Linked DNA regions of Arabidopsis thaliana. The protein of the gene in region 1 interacts with the protein of each later gene in a pairwise test. Each region holds a gene or a part of one and is shown on either strand. Other genes may lie near its edges. The genes, in order: VAP27-1, AGO1, AT1G10180 and PIP3.

Evidence for each region.
Region 2: the proteins of VAP27-1 (region 1) and AGO1 interact in a two-hybrid assay, tested with the Arabidopsis thaliana proteins (one study listed by BioGRID).
Region 3: the proteins of VAP27-1 (region 1) and AT1G10180 interact in a two-hybrid assay, tested with the Arabidopsis thaliana proteins (one study listed by BioGRID).
Region 4: the proteins of VAP27-1 (region 1) and PIP3 interact in binary tests that used the Arabidopsis thaliana proteins (3 or more experiments, as listed by UniProt).

The regions. Positions count from the first base shown.
Region 1 is NC_003074.8:22,398,209-22,403,239, forward strand, and holds VAP27-1 (vesicle associated protein), read left to right. Parts: upstream 1-1,901; 5' UTR 1,902-2,328; coding exon 2,329-2,428; intron 2,429-2,515; coding exon 2,516-2,586; intron 2,587-2,670; coding exon 2,671-2,752; intron 2,753-2,852; coding exon 2,853-2,968; intron 2,969-3,076; coding exon 3,077-3,232; intron 3,233-3,293; coding exon of another isoform or gene 3,294-3,313; coding exon 3,314-3,367; coding exon of another isoform or gene 3,368-3,461; exon of another isoform or gene 3,462-3,704; coding exon 3,705-3,782; intron 3,783-4,086; coding exon 4,087-4,200; 3' UTR 4,201-4,516; downstream 4,517-5,031. Other genes in the region: AT3G60590 (cytochrome P450 family protein), read left to right, coding at 20-212, 524-1,545. UniProt on the Arabidopsis thaliana protein: Part of a membrane-cytoskeletal adapter complex that forms a bridge between the endoplasmic reticulum and the plasma membrane. Associates with microtubules.
Region 2 is NC_003070.9:17,886,553-17,894,403, reverse strand, and holds the start of AGO1 (Stabilizer of iron transporter SufD / Polynucleotidyl transferase), read left to right. Parts: upstream 1-1,807; 5' UTR 1,808-1,976; intron 1,977-2,503; 5' UTR 2,504-2,511; coding exon 2,512-3,147; intron 3,148-3,234; coding exon 3,235-3,443; intron 3,444-3,519; coding exon 3,520-3,669; intron 3,670-3,754; coding exon 3,755-3,894; intron 3,895-3,992; coding exon 3,993-4,102; intron 4,103-4,195; coding exon 4,196-4,302; intron 4,303-4,392; coding exon 4,393-4,531; intron 4,532-4,602; coding exon 4,603-4,719; intron 4,720-5,187; coding exon 5,188-5,295; intron 5,296-5,393; coding exon 5,394-5,465; intron 5,466-5,815; coding exon 5,816-5,938; intron 5,939-6,026; coding exon 6,027-6,189; intron 6,190-6,277; coding exon 6,278-6,537; intron 6,538-6,654; coding exon 6,655-6,797; intron 6,798-6,896; coding exon 6,897-6,959; intron 6,960-7,044; coding exon 7,045-7,108; intron 7,109-7,191; coding exon 7,192-7,327; intron 7,328-7,423; coding exon 7,424-7,497; intron 7,498-7,575; and 4 more.
Region 3 is NC_003070.9:3,337,684-3,343,225, forward strand, and holds AT1G10180 (LOW protein: exocyst complex component-like protein), read right to left. Parts: upstream 3,946-5,542; 5' UTR 3,812-3,945; coding exon 3,716-3,811; intron 3,488-3,715; coding exon 3,393-3,487; intron 3,247-3,392; coding exon 2,229-3,246; intron 2,146-2,228; coding exon 1,639-2,145; intron 1,553-1,638; coding exon 1,364-1,552; intron 1,193-1,363; coding exon 1,056-1,192; intron 966-1,055; coding exon 698-965; 3' UTR 502-697; downstream 1-501.
Region 4 is NC_003075.7:16,706,642-16,710,941, forward strand, and holds PIP3 (plasma membrane intrinsic protein 3), read left to right. Parts: upstream 1-1,719; 5' UTR 1,720-2,030; coding exon 2,031-2,316; intron 2,317-2,408; coding exon 2,409-2,704; intron 2,705-2,963; coding exon 2,964-3,104; intron 3,105-3,197; coding exon 3,198-3,317; 3' UTR 3,318-3,766; downstream 3,767-4,300. UniProt on the Arabidopsis thaliana protein: Water channel required to facilitate the transport of water across cell membrane. May be involved in the osmoregulation in plants under high osmotic stress such as under a high salt condition.

The DNA.
Region 1 (5,031 bases):
AGTGGGCTTTTTAAAAAGGATGGGCCGACTATTCAAGTTATCAACACGTCGTCGTATAATCATAGTAGCTCTTTGTATTTTTGTTCCGGACATGATTATCTTAGTATCCAAACACGTCACATTCAAGTTTATTCTAAAGATTTTTCTCTCCGGAGACGTTAAGAGAAGAAACAGCCAACGGATTAGGGATCTTACCGTTCTGCGATTCGCCGGTGAGTGTTTTTATTTTATTTTTCCGATTTCATATCGGCTTCTTACTCTTTAATTCGATTTCCTTATATGTTATCGTGATTACCTTCCCGAGAATTCATGGTAAAATTGATCGGTATATATTTTGATAATCGACTTCAATTTGGTTTATCCCTCCTTATGCTTAATTGCTTCACTTACCGGTTTTGATTCTGACTTGTATTGATTTGATATCGATTATCCGGTTTAGTAGCTTCAAGTGTTTCCCCTGTGTCCATGTATCGTCTTGGTCCTGATGATTTTGAAATGTTCTGTTTTGTTTGTTTATGTTAAGAACAGAGTTTGAAGCTTTTTTTAGAGACTTCAATGGTGAGCCAAGGAATGGTATCTCTTACAAAGTCTCTATGCACTATGACTCCAAGAGTCCGTCTCAAGAATCCGAATATGTTGCAGAAACTAAAGACTGGATCTTGTAATTTCCGTTTCAGAAATCTCCGTGTCTTATGCACACCAAAGCTGTCTCAGTGGGAACCGTCACCTTTCATTCATGCTTCTGCAGAAGAAGCTGCTGATATAGTATTGGACAAAACCGCGAATGTGTTCGAATCTATTGTCTCCGAGAGTGCAGAGGAAGAGAAAGTAGATATGTCAGCGCAACAACGAACTAATTCTCAAGTTCAGGTACTTAAATGGCCAATATGGCTTTTGGGTCCATCTGTTCTCCTCACAAGCGGTATGGCGCCTACTTTATGGCTTCCGTTGTCATCGGTTTTTCTCGGTTCCAACGTGGTTAGTCTACTTTCTTTGATCGGTCTAGATTGCATTTTCAATCTTGGAGCAACCCTTTTCCTCTTAATGGCTGATTCTTGCGCACGTCCTAAAGACCCATCACAGTCCTGCAACAGCAAACCACCATTTAGCTATAAGTTCTGGAACATGTTTTCACTCATAATCGGGTTTCTAGTCCCAATGTTACTTCTCTTCGGATCCCAATCTGGCCTTCTCGCTTCTCTCCAGCCCCAGATTCCTTTCCTCTCGTCCGCTGTTATCCTCTTCCCGTACTTCATTCTCCTTGCTGTTCAGACATTAACAGAGATCCTCACATGGCACTGGCAATCACCGGTCTGGCTAGTCACACCAGTTGTCTACGAGGCTTACCGAATCTTGCAACTGATGAGAGGGTTGACACTTAGTGCAGAGGTCAACGCACCGGTTTGGGTGGTTCATATGCTTCGTGGGCTTGTCTCTTGGTGGGTATTGATCTTGGGAATGCAACTCATGAGAGTTGCTTGGTTTGCTGGTTTTGCATCTAGAACAACAACAGGTCAGCAACCACAATCTGTTGCTTCTAAGTAAAGACAGATAAATGTTTCTTCGTTTAGTTTTTAAAGTCATGTCAAAGATTTGTAACTCTTTCTTCACTGTATAGCTTTTATTATTCGTGGGTTGGTGATAAGGATTAAAAAAAAACACATATTCTTTATGATCATATTCGCTCTTTTAGTTAGGTATGTGATGTTATTCATTTCAATATTAAAGGCTGATAGGTTGACGTTAAGGTTGAGAATATGCAAAGGTTGACACAGATTCCTGTCAAAGAAAGACATTTAAGAATTTACGAAAAATGATGAAAATGTTTCTCTTAAGAAAGTAGAGCATAATGTCGAATAAGACTAGTTTATATGGTTTTGTATTTTTACTAAGTCATGTCAGAAAGAAGAAGAAAAATATATGTACTGTGTTATAGCCTTATAAGTAATAGGTTTTTGCATTTGGTGAGTACTTGGTAACAGTAAAAAAAAGAAAGTTATACGTTACGTTGTGAAATATGATCAGATTATAATGTATATTCTTTACTTTAGTTGAATTGTTGTTGTTGTAATTCATCTCCACGCGTTTGCGATTAGGGCGCGTTTGCGTTTTTATCAATTTTAAATGAATTGACAGTATTACCCTTGAGAAATGAACAAGACAAATAGCGATGTCCCACTCTATTCATTAGCTCTGTCTAATCTCTCTCGATCGACGACTGCTCTCTCTCTGAACCGGAGACGGTGTCACGGGACGAATCTAATCGCCGGGAAACCGTTTTTTTTTTCTCTCGGAAAATCGATTTGAATCTCCGGCGATCTGATCGGGATGAGTAACATCGATCTGATTGGGATGAGTAACCGCGATCTGATCGGGATGAGTAACAGCGAGCTTCTCACCGTCGAGCCTCTCGATCTTCAATTCCCTTGTAAGCTTTATTCATAACTCTTTCAATATTTCGCATGTCTTATTGCCCCAGATCTATGTGTTAAGCTTCTTCTCTGATTTGATGTAGTTGAATTGAAGAAGCAGATCTCTTGCTCTCTCTATTTGACGAACAAGACCGACAATAATGTTGCCTTTAAGGTTATAATTCTCTTATTTAGCCTTATCAATTTTGGAATCGAGAAAAATTGTTTCGTGTTTCTGAGGCTTCTCGTGATGATTTAGGTTAAGACGACGAATCCGAAAAAGTATTGTGTTAGGCCTAATACTGGAGTTGTTCTCCCGAGGTCTACTTGCGAAGTTCTTGGTCTGTTCTCGATTTGTGTTTTTTTTTGTTAATTTCGATTTGCTAAATTGGTTATTGGATTAGGGAATTTGATGAATTCTTAATGTCTGGTTTGATATAGTGACCATGCAAGCTCAAAAGGAAGCTCCTTCCGATATGCAGTGCAAGGACAAGTTTCTGCTTCAAGGTGTGATAGCTAGTCCTGGTGTCACAGCCAAGGAAGTTACTCCTGAGATGGTATATTATTATATGGATGGTTACAGTTTTCATATGGATGGTTACAGTTTGGTGTTGGTTTTACTTAAAAGCAGTATTTTTCTTGTTTCTTGTAATGAAATTTTGCAGTTTAGCAAAGAGGCTGGACATCGAGTTGAGGAAACTAAACTGAGAGTTACTTATGTTGCTCCACCACGACCACCATCACCGGTTCACGAAGGATCTGAAGAGGGTTCTTCACCCAGGGCTTCTGTCTCAGATAATGGACATGGTTCTGAATTTTCGGTTAGTACATGTTAACTTAAGTTTAGATTTCAGTTTCTCTGGTAGACATATTTATATGTAGATTTTCATGTTTAATTTTAGTTTGAGAGATTTATCGTGGACAACAAGGCTGGACATCAAGAAAACACATCTGAGGTATTTTTCACAATTCTTCCAAGTTTGTCACCGTCAAAACCATGTGACATCATCTTTTGCTTTTGCTCTGTTTAAAACTGATTTTTGGAGGTAGCTTTACTGGAAAGTTGCCTTTTAGGCTGATTTACTAGGTTGAGAATCTTTCTTTATGTTGATTACTTAAAAGGTTCACTACATTTTTAGAAGCCTGTCCAGTGCTCAAGCCGTCCATTAATTGTCTTTTTGTGCACCAAATCCTCGTAGATGTTATTTTGACACAGTTACCACTTACTATACACTATTTTGCTTCAGTCATTCTACATTATTTCTATTACCGCTGAATTTTGTATGATTTCAGGCGAGGGCACTCATTACCAAGCTAACCGAAGAAAAACAGTCTGCCATTCAACTGAACAACAGACTTCAAAGAGAACTGGTAAAACAACTCTCACTTGGATCCTTTATTATCTCTGAATCTCCTCCATGCTCTTGTTACTTTGATGATTAGCAATCTGTAGCGTTTGTAGTGTTTTTCCATGGTTTTGAGAAGGTATGCTTAAAGTCATCATTTGTTTTTGTGAAGAGATGCTTTAACTTATCTTTTGCATTGGCTTCTGTTTCCATGGTTGACTTATCTCACCATACCATTAATCAAAACCAGTCTTGTATGAATATTCCACAAGCTTAGTTTAGAATCTTGAGATTGTTTATCTGACAAAGATTTTGGTTTGATGTGGCAGGATCAGTTAAGGCGTGAAAGCAAAAAGAGCCAAAGTGGTGGTATCCCATTCATGTACGTTCTTTTGGTCGGACTCATCGGTCTAATTTTGGGATACATTATGAAGAGGACATAAACCACCCACCTTGAAATTAATCCCTCACCCGCCACGAAGGAAAAAAAAAAGACTTTTAACTCTTTTCAGTCGGACATTTTTTTCTCTTCTGTATTTGTCAATTTCGCCTTAAAAAGGTGTCCTAGAAGATTTGTGTTTCGTAACTCAGTTTGCTATGTTTTTTTCAACTTTTGTAATCCAAATGACTTTGCGTTGGTTCTTTCTCCACTAATTCTCTTATATTTCTTAACTTCATTTTCCATCTCAAACCTTCCTCCGTGTCTGCATTAGTCAGTGTATGTATATGTTTGTTCCAAATGCTTTTCTCTTCCTTTACCACATAATTTCTTACATCAATATTGAACAGAGATGAACTACAACGGCAATGTTTCATGCTTATGTTTTTTACTGATGAGGAAAGAAAGAGCTAAATCATGTGCAACTTTTAGTATCTTCTTCTAGTTTCCATCTAAGAACCATGGACTTGGACAACGAATAGACCAACAAGACTCGGTTCTCCATTACCCTGTTGCATCTTCTTGGTTTACTATTCATTTGTCCTAGTCTGGTCCATACACCCGACGTGCTACACAAATAAAACTTGAAGCAAAGAAAGATACTAAATGGGAGAAACTACAAGAGAAAAGAGCGAGAAATAGAAACTACCTGGATCAGATAGCAGCGCTAAGAAGAAGAAATTTTGGAGAATTGATCAAAGATTATAGATAAAACAAATTTACGTTTTTATATGTGTTGAGAGTATAACGATGAGACTATTTCTCTCTGTTTCTTGTTTCTCTGGTTTGTTTATGATGATGATCGATGATACTAAAACGATGAGAGTACATCTAT
Region 2 (7,851 bases), on another chromosome or scaffold:
AGAACTCCAATCAACATCTAATATTTTGTCTACAACTTTATGTTTTTTCACCTTACTATATGATCTAGACAATCTTTTGTTAGGTAAAGTGTCTAGATATTCTTTCACCTAATTAACACGGAAACGTAAACTTGTACAAAAACATCTATTGATTATAGAAGAGAACCGAGCCGTGAGAGTCGTTTCTCGTCAAGACCGCACCAATCGACTCAAACATGAGCCAAACTGTACGTAGTTCTTATAAGGAACACAAACCTCCATCGTAAACCAACGTTTTCGATCGGTTCTAGCTAGACTCGCCATGCATGCATGTGCGTTGGTGCCCGTAATTACGTACACCAATCTTGATTGATATCAATGCTTATATGCCGTTAATCTTCATCTCGACTCTCGAGGTAGTAGTACTTGACGAGTTCTAAGTTCTTCTTCCGTTATGAGAAATCATATATAAGTTCTTCTATACATCTCGCTTGATTATTATAATCTTTCGCCTTTTAATTTCTCGTTTGATTATTATAATTAATGTTTATAATGAAAAGAATCATTATTTCCCAAAGCAAACGAATCATTTTGAGATAGACTTACAGTTATCACAAAAAGAAATCTAAACGTTTTCCCCAAGATTTAGCCTTTCGTCAGCATGTAATTACTCGTGACATATTCTCTAGCTCATATTTCTTCTTCACGCACGAGCAACCAATTTTGTTATATATGTATAAATCATCTTTGACAATTATATATAATACAGATTTGTTACGAGTATATGAATTTTTTTGAGGTACAGAAGCAAATCAACTAGTGAAACTAAATTAAAGAGCTAACCATCAAATAAAGTAAATTGAATTAAACAAACAAATCATACCACGTGATGACAGCCACCACATTCCTAAAGTTAGAAAATTGGCAAACCTGTAAAAAAGCATCACTTCCCCGAAATCGCAGGTCATATTTCTATGAAAACGAAAGAGAGTTATCTATATAGTAAATGGCTATATTCATATTTGCCCCACCACCCATGACCCATCTCAGTTAATAAATAGTTCTTCTATTCACCTCTATACTATAATCATTCACTTTATCTTATATATAGTCTATAAAACTAAACGTAATTCGCATGATTTTGCCTTTCGTTGCATGAAAAATCCTCCTTGACAATGTACAATTCGTTAGTACTACTCGATCAGTCGCCTTGACTCACGACATTTTCTCTAGCCACTGTTTTATCTTCACACACAAGTACCAATTTTAAACTGTTGTACTTAACTGTATAACATCCTTTATACGTAACGTAAGCCAAAAATTATGATCTAATCAGTTACTACAGATTAATAATAAGATTAATAACGGCCGGTCTACTAATTTTGAACACTTGTGCATGCATTATCTCTCGTTGAAATAGTAAATTAATGCAACTAACTTTACAAGATTAATCGAGGTATATTATAGTCTAAAACAAATATTTAAATTAATGCAACTAACTCTTGAAGATTAATCGAGGTAACGCATCACACTAATCATATTTAATCGGATAATACATATACTGTTAGTAAAATAAATTAAAAAAGATTTGGTAGATAAACGACAAAAATGTTTTTCGTCTTGTTGTTTTCGAGAAGCTTCTTTTTCCGGATTAAAAAAACATTATGCAATTCCACGTCATCAGCGCATTACAAACAATGAAAGACTACACACGACCTTGGGTCAGCATTCCAAAGACCCAACCCTGACTCGCCACGTCGACATATGCCAGCTATTAATGAAGAGGGTAATTCCGTAACTTACTCTAACCACAGAACCCTTGAATTTAAAGTGTAGCAGTAAAATCTCATTTCTTTGAGTTATCTCGTTTGTTCGGAGTTAGAGAGAGAGAGAAAGATATAGAGAGAACACAGAGAGGCGAGAGCGACGTAGGGTTGGTGTTTCGTACGGATTTTCTCGGTCAATCTTAGTTTCTCCGGCGAGAGATTGCTTTTCAGGTAAAAATGGCGGCGGTTTTGGTGTTTGTTCTTCACTTAATCTGTGTTCGATCTGCGTATGAACTCGATTTTTCCACTCGATTGGGTGGATCCGCTTCGTTTTGGTGTTATGGTTCACTGATAGTGTTGTATGTTTAGTTGATCTTTGCGATTTCGGATCTATTAGCTTCGTAGCTGTTTTGGTGTGTGTGTTCGTCTTCGAAGATATTTAGGTTTTTTTTTTTTGTTGCTTCAAATTTCTTACTGTTTCGTGCTTGTTTTCTTACTTCGTTTTCTGTTTAGGTCTTTGATTGTTTCTTACTAGGTTTTCTATGTTTGCTTTGGGCTGTTGAATTTGGTTTTCTATCTCTCTAGCTAATCACTGGTTTTCGTGCTTCTGAGTCGTTTGTTTTTGAAGCTAGTTAGGGTTTTCTTCTGTTGCTTCTATATTTCGATAGTTTTGTGCTTGTTTTCAATGTTTGCTTCTTATTTTCAAGGATAATTTTAAAATGACCCACTGTTTTTGGGTGGTTGTGTTATTTTCACAGGAATCATCATGGTGAGAAAGAGAAGAACGGATGCTCCATCTGAAGGAGGTGAAGGCTCTGGGTCTCGTGAAGCTGGTCCAGTCTCAGGTGGTGGACGTGGTTCACAGCGAGGTGGTTTCCAGCAGGGAGGAGGACAACACCAAGGTGGAAGGGGTTATACTCCTCAACCTCAACAGGGAGGTCGTGGTGGTCGTGGATATGGGCAACCACCACAACAGCAACAACAGTATGGAGGACCACAAGAGTACCAAGGAAGAGGAAGAGGAGGACCTCCTCATCAAGGAGGTCGAGGAGGGTATGGCGGTGGCCGTGGAGGTGGACCTTCTTCTGGACCACCGCAGAGACAATCAGTTCCCGAGCTGCATCAAGCTACCTCACCTACTTATCAAGCGGTGTCTTCTCAGCCTACACTGTCTGAGGTGAGTCCTACCCAGGTACCAGAACCTACTGTTCTGGCTCAGCAATTTGAACAACTCTCTGTTGAACAAGGAGCTCCCAGTCAGGCAATCCAGCCTATACCTTCTTCTAGCAAGGCTTTCAAGTTTCCAATGAGGCCTGGTAAAGGACAGAGTGGAAAGCGTTGCATTGTGAAGGCTAACCATTTCTTTGCTGAACTGCCTGATAAGGATTTGCACCATTATGATGTGAGTTTTGTGTTCCCTTAGTATTAGCTACCATACATCTAATGTCTATTTATAAATTTACCTGACCAACTGTGTTCTTTCTGTTAGGTTACCATTACTCCGGAAGTTACATCAAGGGGTGTCAATCGTGCTGTGATGAAACAACTTGTTGATAATTATCGTGATTCTCACCTTGGAAGTCGTCTTCCAGCGTATGATGGTCGAAAAAGTCTTTACACTGCTGGTCCACTTCCCTTTAACTCCAAGGAGTTCAGAATCAATCTTCTTGACGAAGAAGTAGGGGCTGGAGGTCAAAGGTCTAGTTCTTATGGTTTCTTGTTGATTTTTTTAATAAGGAAGTTTCAGAATAATAACATCTTTCCTATTTTACAGACGAGAAAGGGAATTTAAAGTTGTGATCAAGCTAGTTGCACGTGCTGATCTGCATCACCTAGGAATGTTTTTGGAGGGGAAACAATCAGATGCCCCACAGGAAGCTCTGCAGGTTCTTGACATTGTTCTTCGTGAGCTGCCGACCTCTAGGTACTGGTTACTCATCCTATGGATGTTTGCTTCTTTACTACCATGCTTGTAAGTCTCAGCTGGTTTAGTTTTGCTAACATGTTAGAATCAGGTATATTCCGGTGGGCCGGTCCTTTTATTCCCCTGATATAGGAAAAAAACAATCATTGGGGGATGGCTTGGAGAGCTGGCGTGGATTCTACCAAAGCATTCGTCCTACACAGATGGGCTTATCACTCAATATTGGTGTGATGGCTTGCTGTATTACATTCAATAATTTTTGATATCTGGTTCTCCTTGAATGTTTAACTCATGGTTGTGCTGCAATTTTGTCTGTTTTGTAGATATGTCATCGACAGCCTTCATAGAGGCAAACCCTGTGATTCAGTTTGTCTGTGATTTGCTTAACCGGGATATTTCTTCTCGACCTTTATCTGATGCTGATCGTGTTAAGGTATGAATCAATTGTCATTTTCTGTAGTAAGTGAAATGTTGTATTAATCTACTCTTCTTTGCTTAGTGACTTGGAATCTTCTTCTGTCAACAGATAAAAAAGGCTCTTAGAGGTGTCAAAGTTGAAGTGACTCATCGAGGAAACATGCGCCGGAAGTACCGCATTTCCGGTTTGACTGCTGTGGCCACTCGGGAATTGACGTGCGTATTTGTTTTAGATTTACTACTCTTATTTCGCGAATGTTGAACTTGATGAAATTAATTTTTACTCTCTGTTTTTATCCTTTTCAGATTCCCAGTAGATGAAAGAAATACTCAGAAATCTGTTGTAGAATACTTCCACGAAACATATGGTTTTCGCATTCAGCACACTCAACTACCATGCTTGCAAGTTGGGAATTCTAATAGGCCTAATTACTTACCAATGGAGGTAACTTTGAAATACGTCATCAGGTTTTATTAGCTCACCAGTACTTCCGATTCTAATGTGTTGCTGCACAGGTATGCAAGATTGTTGAAGGCCAGCGGTATTCCAAAAGATTGAATGAGAGACAGATCACTGCTTTGCTGAAGGTTACCTGTCAGCGCCCGATAGATCGAGAAAAAGATATCTTACAGGTATGTTTCTTTATTTTCGATAACTTTGTTTTCCTTCACTTGAATCAAGAGTATCTTTTTGTCCGCCTATCTTGATAGTCGTTTTAAATAATGTATGCTGGTGATAAAGCCTCATTGTGGAATAGATCATTGTAAAATCTGTTTATTCTTACTTGGTTGCATGTGTTTACTTGAAGTAAGTGATTTTCTCAATTCATATCTAACTTGTTTTTAATCATATAAACTTGTGGCTGAAAGGATGTTATGGAATGAATGGCTTAAAAACCTGTTTCTTCTTTACTTGGATGCATATGTTTGCTTGAAGAGAGTGATTTACCTTGAGATGATGCCTTTACTTCATAAATAGTGAGGCAGATTACCATCTTCAGAGTTGTGCTCTTAATTTAGCAGCGCGTGTGTCTTCTGGCTGCTGTTGTTGAAAACTCAATTGTTTATTGCTAACATTATACAATATTTTCTGATTTCTAGACGGTGCAACTCAATGATTATGCTAAAGATAATTATGCTCAAGAGTTTGGCATCAAAATAAGTACTTCTCTGGCTTCTGTTGAGGCTCGTATACTGCCTCCTCCATGGGTATAGTAATCGTTCCCATTGTCTCTTTGCTATTACACTTTTTCTCTGTATCTTAATGACTCAAATTAGGGTTCCAATCTGATTTTAATGTTCTGCAGCTTAAGTACCACGAGTCTGGAAGGGAAGGGACTTGTCTGCCACAAGTTGGTCAATGGAACATGATGAATAAGGTAACTAGACGAAAATGTTCCTGGTTTTCAACTATGCACTTACATGTTTCTTGCTTGTGTTACCTATATATACCTATGCTGTCATTTTTATGTGAATATTTTGTAAATCATGGCTGAGCTGTATATTTCCAGGTAATTGGCAAGAAAATTGTTTATTTATTTGTCTGTTATGAGACATATTACTCTAAAATGCTATTCTCTTGATATGAGTATGGGTGTGGCACTTGACTAGTTGCAGAGAGTATTTTGTTCATGTAGCTATGTAGATACACACTGAATTTGTCTTTGTTATTTTTTGAAAGTGATCACAACGTTTTCTGTTGTCTGGCTAATATGAGTCTTCTCTGCAGAAAATGATCAATGGTGGAACGGTGAATAATTGGATCTGCATCAACTTTTCTAGGCAAGTGCAGGACAATCTAGCGCGTACATTTTGTCAGGAACTTGCTCAAATGTGTTACGTATCTGGCATGGTGAGTCTTTGGAAGCACAAACTTGATCAGTTTATTAACCTTTCCTACACTGATTCCTTCCCTTTAATTTTTTATTTCTTACCTGCAGGCATTTAATCCGGAACCAGTCCTCCCACCAGTCAGTGCTCGCCCTGAGCAAGTAGAGAAGGTCTTGAAGACTAGATATCATGATGCCACATCAAAACTCTCCCAAGGAAAAGAAATTGATCTGCTTATTGTCATTCTGCCCGATAATAATGGATCATTATACGGTATGAGCCATGGTCTCGGATGTTTCATTGTCTACTTCTGCTTAGGAACACACTCTCAACTTATTTTCCTTAATAATATCCATTGCAGGTGATTTGAAACGCATATGTGAGACTGAACTCGGCATAGTCTCTCAATGTTGCCTGACAAAGCATGTCTTTAAGATGAGCAAACAATACATGGCTAATGTTGCGCTGAAGATTAATGTGAAGGTTGGAGGAAGAAACACAGTGCTTGTTGATGCTCTATCTAGGCGGATTCCTCTAGTCAGTGATCGACCCACCATTATATTTGGTGCTGATGTTACCCACCCTCACCCTGGAGAGGATTCAAGCCCATCTATTGCTGCTGTAAGTTAGCTTCTCCTTTAAGATCTACTTCTGTATATGGATGCTTTTGTTTATTTTCATGGCCTTAACCTTTTCAAATTGTGCTTGTTTTGTTGACAACGAAATTTTTGTTTTCAGGTTGTGGCATCTCAGGATTGGCCTGAAATCACTAAATATGCTGGATTAGTTTGCGCTCAAGCGCATAGGCAGGAGCTCATTCAGGATCTGTTCAAAGAGTGGAAGGATCCTCAGAAAGGTGTGGTGACTGGTGGCATGATAAAGTACGTGTGGATGTTATTTAATATTTTCGTGATTGGGTTTTAGCTTTAGCTTGCTCTTAAGTAACAGATCTGTACGTTTCTCCCCTTACTTTTGAACAGGGAGTTGCTCATAGCCTTCCGTAGATCAACTGGGCATAAACCACTAAGGATCATCTTCTACAGGTATTAACTCTTCTTATGGCACTTACTTGACTAAATAACTTTCTGTCTTTCTTTCTGAAATGTATTATATGGTTATTCTGCACAGGGATGGAGTCAGTGAGGGACAATTTTACCAAGTTTTGCTCTATGAACTTGATGCCATCCGCAAGGTAACAGTTACTTCTAACAAATGGCTTGTGTTGCGTGCTCGTTTTCTTCTGTTTAATCTGATTATTATTTCAACTCATTTCAGGCCTGTGCTTCGCTGGAAGCAGGTTATCAACCACCAGTGACATTTGTGGTGGTGCAGAAGCGTCATCACACGAGGCTGTTTGCTCAGAACCACAATGATCGCCATTCGGTGGACAGAAGTGGGAATATTTTACCTGGTGAGACAAGTTTGGATCTTTGTCAAGCTTTTTGTGCGTAGACCTAATCAGCTGAAAATCCCTTGCATTGGTTTTTAACCCCTTTGTTAATTGTAGGCACTGTTGTGGACTCTAAAATCTGCCACCCTACAGAGTTTGACTTTTACCTCTGTAGTCATGCTGGTATTCAGGTATAATTTACAATCTCAAATGAGTTTGTGGGTGAGAATTTATTTGAAGTGTTTAACAAATCAAAACTCCATTAACAGGGCACTTCTCGACCTGCTCATTACCACGTTCTTTGGGATGAGAACAACTTTACTGCAGATGGACTTCAATCTCTGACCAATAACTTATGTTACACGTAAGATTTCTTACCTTTGTAACATATTCCTTGTTACAAGTGTTTGCAAGATTGCAAGGAAAATAAGAGTAACATTTAAACTACCTTTTTGATTTGTACAGGTATGCAAGATGCACACGCTCAGTTTCAATTGGTAAGTTTTGTGTTTCCCATCCCTTAATGTCATCTTGATTTTGATATA
Region 3 (5,542 bases), on another chromosome or scaffold:
ACAGCTACAACGATGTTGAAATTAACTAAAGCCAAATCAAACGAATCGAAAATTGATAGCAAGACGCCTAAACTATTCCTCCTTCTTTGGGATCTAAAAAAGGGGGTAAAATCAAAGTGCCCTATTTTATCATATCTAAGAAATTTTGGTGACCAACACCAACCAACACACAAATTTTGGCTTCGATATTGCTGAATCAAAGAGAACGATAAAACAAATGATTAGAAGCTCACAACCAAAGAGGGGGAAAAAGTTTGGTACCTGACAAGAATATACGAAAGCGTATAAAGAAGGAAACAATCGCCGGAAGAATCAAATACGCAGGAGATTCCGATTAGTCTCCCTTGTTTTCTCAGGGAGAGAGAGAAAGAGACTGTAGGAGAAAATGGAGCGATGAGGAAGATTATATATAGCGACTGAAAGTGATAGACCGCCTTGCTCCCAAAGGAAATAAAAGATAGAGAGAGAGAGTCGCGTACGACTTTTCTTTTTCACCGGCTTGTCTGAATTATTTTATGCTTGACAAACCCTCAAGAACCGCCTCATCCCTAATGGGCTAACAATGGGCCTATACTAATTGACTTAAACCAATCTAAACCAGTAATTTAATTTGCAGATGATTTCGGTTAACTTTATATATATTAACTTGAGAGTTTTGAGAGACTTGACTACAGGATACAAACTACAAAGAAAGTGGTCAAGACTCAGAATCGGTGAAAGATGGACTCTCTAGGTCAGCCATGCTTGCAGAGGCAAATGACTCGAACGAGTCCACTGTGGAGAGTGAAGATGTATCTTCGGAATCTGAGTCGTCATCCATCTCAGGGAGGACGATGTGATGATCGTCTTCTTCTTCTTCTTCACACTCATATTCTTCCGGTTCTGAAGCATCCTCAGACCCCATGAGTAGCCTGTTGATAGCTGACTTGGCGGCTTCTGTGAACCACTCTGTCTTCGGGAGTGAGCTGGTGAAAGAGAATAATACACTTTTTAGGTAATTCGTTATGTTGAGACCGAGTTGGAAGAAAATTCAAAAAGAGTGTTGTTTCAATTACCTTTGTGGGTTGATGCCTCTTTCCGAGAATATGTTGATGGCTCGATTGATCACCACTGATGCATGGTTCTGAACTACTTTAAATGGATAACCTGCAAACCTGGCTATCTCCACTGTGAAGTTCATGTCGAGGATCAACTGCAACACGTGACAACAAAACTTCAACTTTCAACCCCAATCTTCTCAAGAAATGAACTTCAACATCAAGTTTCAATTGTTTCCCATTTCAAATTTTCAATCTTTGACTGCTGAGCCTGAGATCAGAGAATAGCTGAGGTATATAAGAGTGGTGAAAGAGAGTGTTTCTACCTGTTGCAATCCAGATGGCTGAAGTGGATTTGACTCGTCCTCGAATGCACTCCAAAACTCCTGCTCGTTTGATAGCCAGATTATAACCGTCTCTGTTAATCTCGCTAGTAGAATCTTTTGCAGCTTCTCTTTACCAAGCAGAACATCCCCAGCAATTATGGCCAACTGTTGTAGCTTAGAAAACAATGCCTGCATAAGAACAGACACAGATGATTCTGTGTGCTAAAACTTATAAACTGGGAACTATAAAACTAGATCAAAGAAGAGGGCGAGACCTGAAACGGTAAAGACGGCAGATGCAAGTCATCTGGTGTTTCGGTTAAATAAATGAGTGCGTCTAATCGCGTTAGTCCTTCCCTAGAGTAGATGAAGCTCAAGACAAACTGCAGACAGAAGTAGTTTCTGAGTTTGTCAAATGCTTGAACCATATGGCGTTTCCATTCTTTCAGTTCCGGTGCAGCACTACTGTTTAGAGCGGCACTATTCTCACCTTCTCCTCCGCCATTTTCAATCTGGAGTTTCCAGACTTTAACAAGTGATCTTGGTAAAAGTTCGTCAAGTATTGTAAACGCAGCTCCAAGAAGCGCAAGCTGCTCAGAATCTGTCTCAGCTCTAGCGAGTACGGTATTATCTTGGAGCTCAGGTAGACCATCCTCATCTGAATGGCCAGGCAAGGCTTTGATCAGAAAGTCGATGTATTTATCATATAGTTGCAATATCCTCGTTAGTACACTCTCACCAAAGTGTAACACAACTAGGTGTGTTAACTGCTCAAGTATGTCCTGAAAGAACAAATAAAGCTTCTATAAATTTATGCCAACAGAATCAAAGAAAATAGTAAGATCAGTGTTCAAAATCAACTTACTTGCACAATTTGCATGAATCGAATGCTACAATCAGTCATCATAGTATCTGAAGCGATAGCGAATTCAGATAATATTGTCACAAAGTCAGAGGGTGATTCCAAGCCCTCATCAGTTTCATTCAAGTCAAAGATAACCCTTCGAGCCCGTCTAAAATTCAACTCCAACACTTCTTCAACATAAGGTCGGAACAGCACCAAAAATAGCTTAGACAGAAATAAGCCTTGTGGTTCCAACACTTTGCAATAGTTAAGACAATCTTGAAGACATATACTGGCTGCCCGCAATGCAGAAGCTGTTTCGGAAGGAGAAGCGTTTTCTTTAACCAACCGCACCAAATATTCAACTTCCCTCTCTGCCCATTGAACAACTTTGTTGGAATATGCGGGATTATCATCGTCACCAAACATGGCTGCGGATTCTTTTGTAGCCACTGAGATGTTAGAGAAAACAAGCTTAGAGAGAGTAGCAGGAAACGTGTTTGGGCAAGTCAAACATGAAGGGAGAAAGGCCTCGATTCTTCTGCGGAGGCTTGTGGCGTAAAACTTTAGAAGCAATTGGTGAGCTGAAGGTCCTTTTCCAAGTCTGATTAACCCAATCAATGCATGCTTCAATTCAGCTACACAAATCGAGGGTTGTTTAGCGATCCTAAGGAGCTGATCCTCAAGAACCGCCTTTCTTTCCATAAAGGCAGACTTGTAAGAAGACATCTCGACTGATCCTTTAAGATCTGGACTGCTTCTTTCCTCAGCATCCATTGCCTCCAGTGCTTCATCCACTTTATGTTCAGCCAAAAGAAGGTCAATTTTCTCCAGGAACTCAGACTTTGGATCGGTTACTTCATTAGGCAAGGGGTCCTCTTCGACTTCAGCGTCATGTACATCACCAGGTAATCGATTCCAATCATCCATCTCACGGCAAACTCCAGCCATCAGATCCTGCACAAGAATCCCCTGAGAAGAAATATGTTTCCGTAGCTCAACCAACTCATGCTCCATCTCCACCGCTTCTTCAGATATTCTACACAAACCAAGCATAAAGAAATGAATCTCAGAAACTAGCACAACGGATACAAAGAAACATGACGTAACCTTTGAATCCGGAATTGCAGATTCAAAACTCGCAAATGAAATAACAAAGAGAAGTTAGTAGCTTTTATACATTACCTTAAGAAAGCAAGGTACTTGGTACGCATATCACCGCACATATTTTCCACAGCATCCTTTAAATCCATAAGCTCACAGCAAAGCTTTCTAATCCCCTGCATTGTTCAACATTACCAGATCAACGAGCATAAACCCATGGACCAACAGGAGAAGTAATCATGAACAATCGTAGGTTCAACAATTTCAATCCAAGACGTAAAATTCGAGGGCTACTGATTCTTAATCCAGATTAATTCGAAAGAACCCATTTGAGATAAACTATATCCGAGTGCAATGAATCAGTTCAGAGAAGGAAACAACTCAGAAAAAAGAAAAGGAGAGACCTTTTCGGTGAGAGACTGGTGAACGGAATCGATCTTTGACTGAGGAGTGATGCTTTCTATAAATGGGTACTCGTCGTCTTCCTCGCTGCTCTCCATGTCTCTCGCTCTATCTATTTCCCCTTCAGTTTTCCTCGGAGTCTCACTGTCTCAGACACGGTTGCCGAAAGAAGCACGATAGTGATGCTTTGGACTCTCTCTGCTCTCAAGACACACAGATTCGTCGGAATTGTAACATTGCTTTTTTTGTACACAAAACGGCATGTAGTGTAATATCTCAAGCCAAAGACGGCACGATGGTTCTTATGGTTTTTGTCATACCTTTTTCGCCATGAAGAAGTAAGTCTACACTATTTCCTAAACTTCTACTACAATTTTAATCTCAAAATCAAAATTTTGTTTAACCACAATTCACAAAACGAAATATCTCGTTGACTTCAGGGTTGACCAATTCATTAAAATTCAAACCTATATGATGACCAATACAAATTGCCTGCTCGAGCTGGAAATAGAGCACAAGAGGTAGTAAAATAAAGAAAAAGAAAGGTTTTGACATTTGATGCTGGTTTTCTCCGGTTCGCTCTTAATTCCTGGGTATTTGATTCGCTTTGTGTTGTTCTCTGCGGTGTTGGATAGTTCGGTTCAAGGATTCTAGGATCCATTGAGTGTTTTAGAAATTCGATTTGGTTCTCTCTTTTTTAAATCCCTTTTTAGTTTTTTCCTTCAAATTAATATATATTGATAATGGGCCTTCCCGACAAAAATTGGGCTTAGCCATGGACATTATAAAACAGACAAAGCAGGTACAAAAAGGATTTTGGTTCTTTTTTGGTCTATTATTATTGGTTCAGATATTTGAATGGAGAACCAAAGTGCTAAACAAGTAAGTAAGTAACACAAGCTGTTAAATTTCTTCACGGGAGTATTTTCTTTTTCGTCACTATAGTAACAAATGTTTTCTCCACACACAAGGCCATTCGGCCCATTCCTATATTTTATGTGTTCCAAAACATATTTTATAAAACCGTTCTTCTATATTTATTAGTAACACTAGTTAATCACCCGCGCTATGCTGCGGTATTTTCAAATTTTTTGTATCGTTTAATTTAAATATAATTTTTAATTATCTAATCATTTACTTATATAATAAGTAATTATTCTTAGTATTAAAATATATTTTTTCTAACAACATTCTCAACAATGCATTATACACACAATTCATAAACAATGTTCGTCTTAAACTAATTAAATAGAGGGTAATATTGGGATTCTCGAAACCTAAGAATTTGATGATTAAACTTCTTACATACTCTTCACCCTCGGCGATTTATTATATAGATATATAACAATATGCAAACTATTCAAACTATTAATTAATCCATGACTACTATACACTCATAATTTGAGTTAAGATTACAGAAAAAAATCTTTTGAGTATGAGAAAACCAATCAAATTATTTTATTGAAAAACATTTAATAACAAAATAAATTTAGTATTAGTACAATTAAATATGTAAAATTAAATAATAAATATATCATTAATCTATAAATTAAAAGTTGAAGAGCTTACATTAATTATTCAGTGGACACATGGCAAATGTTAAAGTGATGATGTGTCAATCATATGGAGAGAATTGGTCAACTTTCATATATATGATTTATCTCACAAAAATACTATTTTTATTTTTACCTTGTTTTTAAATTATAAATTTTTATTATGAAATTTTTAACTCGTCGAGTACATCTCTTATTAGTTAAATATTCTTACATTTTTACAATTGGTTCCAATTATATTTTCTAAAAATATTGGGAAATTGAAAGATTTTAATT
Region 4 (4,300 bases), on another chromosome or scaffold:
ACTAGGGTCGATATCTCACTATTTGGAAACCGCAGGCTCCCTATTTATTAGTTTCAAACTCAATTGAAATGAAAATGTGTATTGGTGGTTTTAATGTTTGCACTGCGTAATGTTGCCTGAACTGTATATTTAATAAATTTACCACAACTTAGCAGATATAATTTTGTTATACGAAATCGTATAGTCTTCTTCATGGACAAAGAGGAAGGCAATCATCATTTTCTATGATTGCTCATCGACCTGGCATTTCCATTACCAAAGGCAGCATAATATCAAATCAAATATTTCTTTGTCGTACTTTACTTGAATTAATGATATTATCGTGGGTCGACTTAGGAAGTAAAGTTACTTCCATTTCATATATCTAAATCACATTTGCGTAAAATTTAAGTATTACACAAAGTGATAAAGTAAATTAAGTAATAATTGGCTAGGGATATTAACAAAATAAATAATTTTGATTAGGGCTACGAGGATAAGGACAAACGTCGTATTAACGTATAAAAAATGTGAAAGGAAAAGAGTAAACTAAGCTTTAGATATTAACACTCATTACGGGATTCCTAAATTGCCAGCACTTCGGATTATCCGTCAGTCCACTATTTATGCTAGTTTTTCTTTTCCTTGTGAGCTTGCACTATGGATTTTTCTTTATGCAATTCTCAATCTAAATGACCATTAAACTTTAGAAAAAAATGACCATTAAGTTTTAATGTACATTTGTATCAACTTTCTAATATGCCACGTCCGTATTGCTATATACAAACATAACCATTCAAATTAATATGGCTCTCTCAAAGGAAAAAAATAAAAGGAATAGCAAATGAGTAGATAAATTTTTTGATCAAAAAGAATAAGATGCACTAGTATTAGTATATACTCCCATACATCATTTAACCAAATTTTAAAATTGATTATAATCCATAAATAGTCTTCAAATTTCAACGACAAACACATTAATGTGAGTATAAATTAGCATAGACTACTATATAGTTTATATGCGGGGTGAATGTTTGTCTATACAAGTTTCGTCAAAAAAACGGCACCAACCATAATTAATAGACTCTTATCTTTTGCTGGTATATGAACTCTTTTTAAAAATTGCCGCGAATATACCTTCTTCGTAGATTATTAATCTTTTTCATGTACAGTTGCCTTTAGCAGATTATCATATGTTACAAACATTTGACCTAATTTGAAAAAATGTTACCAAAAAAGATTTGGAAAAAAAGACAAAGATATTGAGATAACCGTTGAAGAGAGTTTGGGATGACAGGCTGACGAGAAAACCATACACCTCATTTCTATCATTAACCCTCACATGGCTTATCTGTACATCTGGACCCCACCACCTTCTACTTTTATCTCCCATTTTTTTTTTCAAATTATTACTACCCAAAAAAATATTCAACAAACCTACAAAAACACATGTCTTATTTTTATTTATTTAAACATTTGTGTATTTATCCCATTGTTCCATATTTATTAGTAGGAAAAATATTCACATTTTACAGAACTGCAAAAGATTTGGCCATGCAAATTATACCCCACTTTGATTGCTATTTTATACACTATATCATACAGTACAAGAACAAAAATTTGATTGGGCCAGTAATAATGCATATAACTATTGATGTTAGCAAGAGAAAAAAATGCATTAAAACACAAATTTGACTATTATTTTGCAGGAACATTCGTGATAATTTTGACTATTATTTTGTCAGTAATAATGCATATTAATCGTATGTGATTTTAACTAAAACTGGAAAGTTCCAAGGAACATTTAGTAGTTTATATTTTTAGTACTAAGTTAGTTTAGAGGGTTATTAACTATTTAATCGTACTAATAATGATTATAAGCAGAATTATGTAGACTATACAAATAGTACGTAATACCGAAAGTACCCTTGGTTTATCCCTGGCATTACAAGGGTTTCCTTTTTCCCCTTTAAAATGGCAGAAGAGATACACTGTCGTCGTCACACAGCACCACAAACTCCATAGCTAGCTAGAGAGTAAAAAGAACAAAGATGTCGAAAGAAGTGAGCGAAGAAGGCAAAACCCACCATGGAAAAGACTACGTGGATCCTCCACCAGCTCCTCTTCTCGACATGGGTGAGCTCAAATCCTGGTCTTTCTACAGAGCTCTCATCGCTGAGTTCATCGCTACACTCCTCTTCCTCTACGTCACCGTCGCTACTGTCATCGGCCACAAGAAGCAAACCGGTCCTTGTGACGGCGTTGGTTTACTTGGTATCGCTTGGGCTTTCGGTGGTATGATCTTCGTCCTCGTCTACTGCACCGCCGGTATCTCTGGTAAGTTTGAATCCCACCAAAAACCCTAACTTTTACTTGTTTGGTTCGTTGGTTTTATTGTTAATCTCGTTCTTGTTCTCGTCTTCTCGTAGGTGGTCACATTAACCCAGCTGTGACTTTCGGTCTGTTCTTGGCCCGTAAGGTCTCTTTGGTGCGAGCTCTTGGTTACATGATAGCTCAGTGTCTTGGAGCCATTTGTGGTGTGGGTTTCGTGAAAGCTTTCATGAAAACTCCTTACAACACTCTTGGTGGAGGAGCTAACACCGTAGCTGACGGTTACAGCAAAGGAACTGCTCTCGGAGCTGAGATTATTGGAACTTTCGTCCTTGTTTACACCGTTTTCTCTGCAACTGACCCTAAGAGAAGCGCTCGTGACTCTCACATCCCCGTAAGTCTCAAAAAGCTTGAATCTTTAATTGAGTTTTTTGACAAAGTTACTATGAATCTGATTGGGTCTTTGTAGATTATGATAAAGGTTGAATCTTTTTAGGATTTAATGATAAAGTTAGTATGAATATAAAATGGGTCTTTGTAGATTCTGATGAAGTTTGAATCTTTTTATGGTGTAATGACAAAGTATGTATGAATCTCTAAGGATCTTTACTTTGTAGATTCTGATAAAGTGTGGTGGGTTTTCTTGTGATTAGGTTTTGGCTCCACTTCCAATTGGATTTGCTGTGTTCATGGTGCATTTGGCTACTATCCCCATTACTGGAACTGGTATCAACCCAGCTAGAAGCTTTGGTGCTGCTGTTATCTACAACAACGAGAAGGCGTGGGATGACCAAGTAAGTGTTTAGTTATTATCTGGATTAGGTATTCACTAATCATTCATGACTTCATGTCCTAATGTTGGTTCTGTGTTGGTTTTGGTTTTGCAGTGGATCTTTTGGGTTGGTCCGTTCTTGGGAGCACTAGCTGCAGCAGCTTACCACCAATACATATTGAGAGCTTCAGCAATTAAGGCCTTGGGCTCGTTCCGAAGCAACGCAACCAATTAATGAAGGCTTTTTTTAAGATAATGTCAAGAAACAACTTTAAGATTTATATGCTTTAATTATTATTTGTTGTTCTTTTGTGTGTAATGAGAGAGATGGTGGATTGATGTTAATTATGAAATGGCTCAGTGACTTCTATTTCCTTCTTTAGTTTTTGATTGTCTTTGTTAATCGTTTGCCTTTGGTTTCTCTTAGTAGTTACAAATTCATGTTTTCTCTTCATGTCAGTTCGTAAATATCGAACAATCCAAGTTGGAATTTATTATTCACAACATCACAAGATCCTTCAATGTACATTATTACAGCTAGCGTCCAATTAAGATACAAATTTCGGCTGAACATGGTGTGTGGGTCTTTTGGTTATTATCCTCGTGTCGACTCTAAACCATCGGGTCATATGTAAACCATTCATTAATTGACACGTGTTGAGAAGGAAATATTGGATTCCATTTGCTATGTGGTTACATTTTCGTTAGTTGACAAGAAAACAACTATTTTCGCTCCATTTGCTTTAGTCTTTTTTTTCGATGTTACTTGTTAGAATTAGTATTGTTTTTAAAAGAAAAAGAACTCGTGCGAGTACCTTTTGTTGTTTTTGTGAAAGGATAAAAAGGAGTGGAGCCAATAGAGTTGTAACAACCAGACAAGAAACGAGACATTAAACCCATTTTTTCCACCGCACTCTAACTTTTCTTAGGCCGCGTGTCGCGTAGCTCATGTGTTTATCACATGGGTAACTTTTCTGCGTCTAGTTACCGTATTGTTATTGTTATTGTTATATAGTAGACTCCTTTTGGCTAAGAGTCTTTAGACCCACCCAAACGCATATGTGTTTGGATGTATTAGGAAATTATTTGTATAAAAGACTTTACCAACTTAATTGAATAATGCATTTGATTAAAGAGAGAAAAAAAAAAGAAAATGCTCATGGAAGCAATAAGCACTAAATTTGTCTATGGGATGTAAATTGCGACAGTGAGAGTTGG